2 linked regions of the Oryctolagus cuniculus genome follow. The protein of the gene in region 2 interacts with the protein of the main gene of each other region in a pairwise test. Links are inferred from orthologs where the notes say so. Each region holds a gene or a part of one and is shown on either strand. Other genes may lie near its edges.

Evidence for each region.
Region 1: the proteins of GCC1 (region 2) and CEP57 interact in binary tests that used the Homo sapiens proteins (3 or more experiments, as listed by UniProt). The two-hybrid records come from large-scale screens. The link is inferred for Oryctolagus cuniculus from reciprocal best matches to the Homo sapiens genes GCC1 and CEP57.

The regions. Positions count from the first base shown.
Region 1 is NC_091432.1:87,262,542-87,266,107, reverse strand, and holds part of CEP57 (centrosomal protein of 57 kDa), read right to left. Parts: intron 2,134-3,566; coding exon 1,903-2,133; 3' UTR 1-1,902. UniProt on the Homo sapiens protein: Centrosomal protein which may be required for microtubule attachment to centrosomes. May act by forming ring-like structures around microtubules. Mediates nuclear translocation and mitogenic activity of the internalized growth factor FGF2, but that of FGF1.
Region 2 is NC_091434.1:164,051,255-164,055,557, reverse strand, and holds the start of GCC1 (GRIP and coiled-coil domain-containing protein 1), read left to right. Parts: upstream 1-1,447; coding exon 1,448-2,479; intron 2,480-3,313; coding exon 3,314-4,303. UniProt on the Homo sapiens protein: Probably involved in maintaining Golgi structure.

The DNA.
Region 1 (3,566 bases), on a different chromosome or scaffold from region 2:
AGTTGTGTCCCAGCTGCTCCTCTTCAGATCCAGCTCTCTGCTTATGGCCTGGGAAGGCAGTGGCAGATGGTCCAAGTGTTTAAGGCCCCTAAACCTGCGTGGGAGACCTGGAAGAAGCTCCTGGCGCCTGGCTTCAGACTGGCTCAGCTCCAGTTGTTGTGGCCATTTGAGGAGTGAACCAGTGGATGGAAGACCTTTATGTCTCTCCCTCTCTCTGTAACTACTTTTCAAATAAAGTCTTAAAAAAATATCAAAAGCTAGAATGGTTATTTCAGTTTTAATTCTAGTTGAGAGATGAGGTGTTTTGTACCAATTACTTACTTTTCTAATTAGAACTTTGAGCCATTACAATTCAAATGACTTTTAGACAATTTAATGACCTGAAATTCAAACAAGGAGATGACAAAAGTTTAACAGCTGAAAACAGGAGAAACATTTACCAGGTCACCAGAGTAATGATTCTCACCTTCGGACTCCTGTTATAGATATGATGAAGCTGCAAACCTGCTCATCAGAAAATCATACACACAGGCAAAATTTATGTGTAATTTCAGGAAATTCACAAATCCTGCCAAATCAGGATGCTAAGTTAACAGCTCTAACCCTAGAAAATAGAACAAGAGTATTACAGTGCCCAAGAAGTCACACAGCTCATGCTTGTCATCCTAAAACTTCATCTTAACAAACTTCAGCAAAAGCATTTAAGAATTTCTTTACAGGTGGCTAATGTTTTCATTAGCATACCCTACCATACAAGGATGAGATAATTTTGTTGGTGATAAACTTACATGTAAACATGAGAATGGCAAATAAATACTATATATTCTTACTGTTTCTCAGTCAACATGATGCTGTCCTATTTAGACATGCACTTTTCAAAGTTTACAATAAATGAAGCCTTTATTAACAGATTAACAGATTGTTAAGGAAAGTTTGTTTCCTTAAAGAAGCTGTTTCACTGACTTCAGTGGCAATCTTATAAAATGTTAAATCTAAAAATTACTTAAAATTATGACTTACATTAACATAATTGTGTGTACAGTTTATATTGCACTCTATATATGAAAAAAAAAACAGATATTCAAGGGATTCTCTAAGTTCCAAGGTTAAAAACCACAATACCTTGACTAAATAACATGATTACAAAGTTACTAAACACAGCATATGAGTATGCTTCACATCTCCTTTCTCTCTCCCATTTGTCACTTTATTCTAAAATTTCATTCACAGTTTATATTATTAATAAGACTTTTACTAATTTTTACAGGTAACTGACTACACTTTAAAAATTTTAAACAATTAAAAAGCAATACAAATGAATTTAATATTGATCAATGTTTGATCACAATGGATCAAATGAAGTGCCAAAAGCAAACCAAAACAATTCTTTTAAATATATAAATATTTAAATATAAGAACTATGTCATCAAATAGTTAAAGCATACTAATGGTTCTAGACGAAAGAGGAAGTGGGCAATTTCTGTCAGAGAAAGATTAAAAAATGAGAATTTTTAAGCAAACACTGCCTTTGAGACAGCCACTTGTTTTTAAAAAGTTAAACCCAATTTTATTTATATATAAAAACTAATTTTAAAAATCACACCCACAAGTAAAAAACTGGTAATGTGTTTACAAAGTACAATGTATCAGAGTACAGCAAATTCATCTCAAAGAAACAGTCTGTGTGGCTTCTCAAACTTTAAAATTCCCTTGGCTTCCACGGAAATGGTTAACATTTAGTGAGGCTGCAAAAAACACACACAGTCTATGTATGAAGCGTGAGCCTCTTAACACTTGCTATTAACTAATTTCAACATCAGATAGTATGTGACCTGGAAAATTAATTGTCAACATCTGATTGAGGAGGTACGTATTATCCGAATAAAATTTATGACCTGATAGTCAGTAATCCCAACACAAATCACCACTTTGTAATGAACTCTGTATGGTTTGCATGTCCTTCAATAACTGAAGATTTTTTCTGCTTTTTTCTCCAGGTCTCAATTTGGTATAATCCTTCTTATTTGTGTTCCCTGTGATTCCAGAACGGTTGCTACTGCTTCCTTCTTCTTCAGGGGTCTTCTTTGTGGCTCTTAATTCCTTCTTTTGCTTCTCTGTCTTCTGTTTCTCCAGCTACACCAAATAAAAATGCAGGGAAAAAAAAAGGAAAACATTTTCTTCTAACAATTAGGAAAACATTTTCTTACAGTCAGTACCTTTTTAGAAAATAACTCCCATAATGACCTGAAACAAAACTAATATATTCTAGGTTTACTATTTTAAAGATTCAAAAATCTGTAAACACCATTTAACATTCTACCCTCAAATACACAACAATATGCACACCAGTAAAGAGTTTTATGATACAGCCAGCATCAAAATTAAAATAGTGTTGTTGTCAAATGCAGAACTGATTGAAAAGCAAGACAAGGTATGACTTGGGAGATGATTCATGGAAGTAGCAAAAAAATCAGACATGGAAAAACATACAGGAAGAATTCTGACAGGAAGATGAGGAGAAAGGCATGGTAGAAACTAAGTCTTGAGTCTGAGCAAATTCCAGATGAGGAAATGCAGTGGTAATTACTACTAAAAATTTTACTCAATCCATTTACTAAAGAATAACTAAGTAGGAAAACATTTTTACTTTAGCTCAACTGCTGCTAGCAGTTGGTGCTCCCTTTGAGAAAATAAAACCAAGTCCAATGTACAAGAACAGGTCAGACTGTTACTCCCTACAGAAACAAGCCTGTATTTCTTTCTTGAACATGAACTATGGAAAAAGTACTTAAAAATCTAAGTTTCACCTAAGAATAACTGTGTGTTAATCACAGAGTTCAACCAATAGCACTAGAACAAAACAGAGAAAATACTAAAATGGATAAAGTATTACATTGTACATCAACAGTCAGGAGAAGAGCTGATCAGGTCACTGTTTCTCATAGTGTCAATTTCACTTCAACAGGTTTCCCCTTTGGTGCTCAGTTGTCGCCGATCAGGGAGAACATATGATATTTGTCCCTTTGAGACTGGCTTAATTCACTCAGCATGATGTTTTACAGATTCCTCCATCTTGTTGCAAATGACCGGATTTCATTGTTTTTGACTGCTGTATAGTATTCTATAGAGTACATGTCCCATAATTTCTTTATCCAGTCTACTGTTGATGGGCATTTGGGTTGGTTCCAGGTCTTAGCTATTGTGAATTGAGCTGCAATAAACATTAGGGTGCAGACAGCTTGTTTGTTTGCCAATTTAAATTCCTTTGGGTAAATTCCAAGGAGTGGTATGGCTGGGTTGAATGGTAGGGTTATATTCAGGTTTCTGAGGAATCTCCAAACTGACTTCCATAGTGGCTTAACCAATTTGCATTCCCACCAACAGTGGGTTAGTGTCCCTTTTTCCCCACATCCTCGCCAGCATCTACTGTTGGTAGATTTCTGAATGTGAGCCATTCTAACTGGGGTGAGGTGAAACCTCATTGTGGTTTTAATTTGCATTTCCCTGATTGCTAGTGATCTTGAACATTTTTTCATGTGTCTGTTGGCCATTTGGATTTCCTCTGC
Region 2 (4,303 bases):
ATCCAAAGCCAGGAGCCAAGAACTTTTCCTGGGTCTCCCACGTGAGTGGTCACATTAGCAGGGAGCTGGATCTCAAGTGGAGCAGCCAGGATTTTAATGAGCAGCTTCACCTGCTTTGCCACAGCGCCGACCCTTACTTTACCTCTGTGCCTTATGTCCCATCTGTAAAACAGTGCTAATGTATCTGCACAGGAGAATAAATAGCAAAATCCTGCTTCCTGCCTTCCTTCCTTCGAAAGGCAAAGTGACCTAGAGGGAGAGACAGAGAAGGGAAAGATTTTTCCATCTGCTGCTTCACTCCCCAAATGCCTGCAACAGCCAGGAACCAGTCAGACCAAAGCCAGGAGCCAGGAACTCTTACCCAGGTCTCAGGGACCCAGCGACCTGGGCTACCTTCTGCTGCCTCCCAGAAGGGCATTAGCAGGAAACTGGGTGGTAAGCGAAGAAGCGGGGACTCAACCTGCACTCACATAGTGGATGCGGGTATCCCAAGCGTCCGCTTAAGCTTCTGTGCCCCAATGCCCGCCCCTAAATAACAATTTTCTTGTGAGGTTCCCGGCGTATAGTTCGCATTCAGGATGAACCTCATGGCGGCAAGGTGTCCTCTATCAATATTCGTTGACTAAACTCAACGGAACTATGGTAAGGTGCCATGTGCATTCCATAAGCCAGCTAGGTGCCAAGTGCCGTGTTAGGAAGGGCTGCAGTGTTCATAGCCCTAATGGGAACATTTATTGTTGGCCTTTAGGGACACAGGTCCTGAGCCCCAAGTCCTTGTGGCTGGACGCATGGGTCACTGGAGTGTTTGTTAAGAATGCAGTGCAACGTCGCCCCCTGTCGGTCGCGGATCGCAGCCCAAGGGCAAACCAACTGCGCTCGCTGGTCCTCAACTTCCTTTCCTTCGCTCTCCGCAAGCCCCGGCCCCCGAGGTTCCCGGCAGCACTTCTCCGCAGCCCCAGTTAAAGGAGCCCCGCCCACCTCGCGGCCGGTAGGGGCGGAGCCTAGGGCGACGCGCTGGCGTCACTTCCTGCGGACCCGGAAGCTCTGTGGTCGGCCGGTTGCGGTAGTTAAGAAGTCGAGATGGAGCCACCCGCGGCGTAAACCTGTAGCCAACTGTGGGCCGAGGGGGCCGGCCGGGGCCGGGCCGATGAGGCCCGGAGGAGCGGAGAGGGCGGAGCAGCTTCGAGGCTAGCGCGGGCGCTCCCAGGCCGGGAGCTCCTGTCGCGCCAGCGTCGCCCCGCCTCCAGGAGCGGACCCGCTCCCGCCCCCCTGGCCTCTGTCCGGCGGCCCCGCCACCCCGCATCCGGGCTTGGACACCTCTGTGGAGCAGCTGTGCGGCCGCGGCGGGACAACCTTTTCCTCGTCGCCTGCTGGCTCCGCCCGCGTAGTCGCGTCGCTCTCCTGGACTGCTGGAACGCTGACGTGGAGCAGCTCGGTCACAGCCCCCATGGAGAAGTTTGGGATGAATTTTGGGGGCGGCCCGAGCAAGAAGGACCTGCTGGAAACCATCGAGTCTCAGAAGAAGCAGCTCCTCCAGTACCAGGCCAGGCTCAAGGACGTGGTCCGCGCCTACAAAAGCTTGCTGAAGGAGAAGGAGGCGCTGGAGGCCAGCATCAAGGTGCTGTCGGTATCCCACGAGGCGGATGTGGGCCTCGCAGGTGTCCAGCCTCCAGGCCTCACCTTCTCTGACTCTGTGGATGACCGGTGCTCCACTCACAGCGAGGATAGCACCGGCACCGCCACCAGCCTGGACACTGCGGCCAGTCTGAGCAGCATCAAGGGTGAGTTTGGGGTAGAAGATGACAGACCGGCCCGCGGACCACCGCCTGCGAAGTCGGAAGAGGCCAGTGGGTCGGAGAGCGGCGTTAGCAGCAGCAGTGGGGATGGGCCGTTTGCAGGTGGGGAGGTGGACAAGAGGTTGCACCAGCTGAAGACTCAGCTGGCTACTTTGACCAGCTCTTTGGCTACAGTCACCCAGGAGAAGTCCCGCATGGAGGCTTCTTACCTGGCCGACAAGAAGAAGATGAAACAGGACCTAGAGGATGCCAATAAGAAGGCGGAAGAGGAGAGGGGCCGCCTGGAGGGAGAATTGAAGGGGCTGCAGGAGCAGATAGCCGAAACCAAAGCCCGGCTGATCACGCAGCAGCATGATAGGGCCCAGGAGCAGAGTGACCATGCCCTGATGCTCCGGGAGCTCCAGAAGCTGCTGCAGGAGGAGAGGACCCAGCGTCAGGACCTGGAGCTTCGGCTGGAAGAGACGCGGGAAGCCCTGGCCGGGCGGGCCTATGCAGCCGAGCAGATGGAAGGCTTCGAACTGCAGACCAAGCAGCTGAGCCGGCAGGTGGAGGAGCTGAAAGGTGAACTGCAGGCCATCCGAGAGGAGAAGAATCGACCGGACCCCCGGCTCCAAGAGCTTCAGGAAGAGGCCGCTCGCCTCAAGAGCCATTTCCAGGCTCAGCTGCAGCAGGAAATGAGAAAGGTAATTATCCTCATCTCCTTCACATATCCGTCATTTCGCTTGAAGTGCGAGATAAGAGGGGTTTTGTTTTTCCCTCCTCCTTTGGTACTTAGAACTAAGTGGCTGCACTGTCATTTTTGCTGCTACTTGAAAAGTTGCACCAGGGAGCCCTGGAAAAGCCTTTCCTGCGGTGGTGTTGACCAGCTCCTGGGAGTGTGCTTGCAACAGGATGTGGAGTTTCCGAGCCTAGGCTGGGTCGGAGCCAGGCCCCTCTGAGCTGCTGGGCGTTGGCACTGTACCAGCTGCTCTCCGAGCTGCCATCGAGCGGCCGCTGTGCAGTGAAAGAGCGAGTGTGTGCCTGTAGCTGTGTACCCATGGGCAGGGTAGCTGAAGGCAGCTAGAGGGATTTTCCCAGAAGAAATAAACCATGGTAATTGCTTTCTGTCAAGGTTTGTCTGTCATGACAGTGTCTGCTGTCCAGGTGGAGGGAGATCCAACTCAGTTTTGTACTTCCAGGAATAGAGAAAGAGAAAAGCAAAGTCCTGTAATTTCATGATAGGGTTCGGGGTGAGGTGACATATGATAGACAGCAAAGCTGGGTGTGAGCTGATAGGAGAAAGTGGAAGCGCTAAAGCAGAGTGACAGCAGGTGTGCAGAGGTGCTTCATATCGTTTGAGATGATATGTATTTGGGGGCAGAACCCAAGCAGGTAGAGGAACTTCTGTTGGATCCTGCATCAACGGAAAAATCCCCAAACGCTCCCCTCGGTCGCCCTCCTCCCCGGACACACGCACACAAAGTTTGCCATGGGGCTTTGTGACTTTTCTGACCGTATTCTGGTCTTGTCTTTGGCAGACAGCCCTTGCGGAAGATCAGCTCCGCCAGCAGTCTCAGGTGGAAGAGCAGAGGGTGGCGTCCCTGGAGAATCAGATATCTGAGGTGTCTGAGCTGCTGGGCACGTACGAGAAGGCAAAGCAGAAGGACCAGCTGGCCATCCAGAAGCTGAAGGAGCGCGTTCTGCAGCTGGACCTGGAGAACAAGACCCTGGCCCTGGCAGCCTCCAGCCGGTCCCCTCTAGACAGCCATGGGGAGGAGTCCAGCCTGGACGTCAACGTCCTCAGGGATAAGATGGAGAAGCTGAAGAGACTGCTGCAGGTGGCCGCCAGGAAGAGCCAGGTGACCCTGGATGTGGAGAAGCTCTGTGACCTGGACACGGTGGGCAGCTCAGACGCCACTGATGGGGAGAAGGCTTCTGCGCTCTACTACCAGCAGGAGCTGAAGCAGCTGAAGGAAGAATTCGAACGGTATAAGATGAGGGCCCAGGTTGTCCTCAAGAGCAAGAATGCCAAAGATGGCAACGTGGCGAAGGAGCTGGAGGCCGCCCAGGAGCAGCTTGCCGAGCTGAAGGAGAAGTACATCTCCCTGCGGCTGTCGTGTGAGGAGCTGGAGCGGCAGCACCAGGGGGAGGCAGAGGCCTGGAAGCAGGAGCTGGCCCGGCTGCAGCAGCTGCACCGGCACGAGCTGGAGCGCAGCCGGCTGGACTTCAGGGACCGCACGCTGAAACTGGAGGAGGAGCTGCACAAGCAGCGGGACCGGGCCCTGGCCGTGCTCGCCGAGAAGGACCTGGAGCTGGAGCAGCTGCGCGCCGTGGCCTTGTCTTCTGGGCTGCCAGGGCGCAGAAGCCCGGTGGGGGCCGGGGCTCCAGGGGACCCGGCCGACCCGTCTGCCCCAGATAGCCTGACCCAAGCACTGCAGCTTGCTGCGGGCAACGAGCCCACGTTCTTCCTGTACGCCGAGCAGTTGGCCCGCAAGGAGGTGGAGATCACGTCGCTGAAGAAGCAGAAA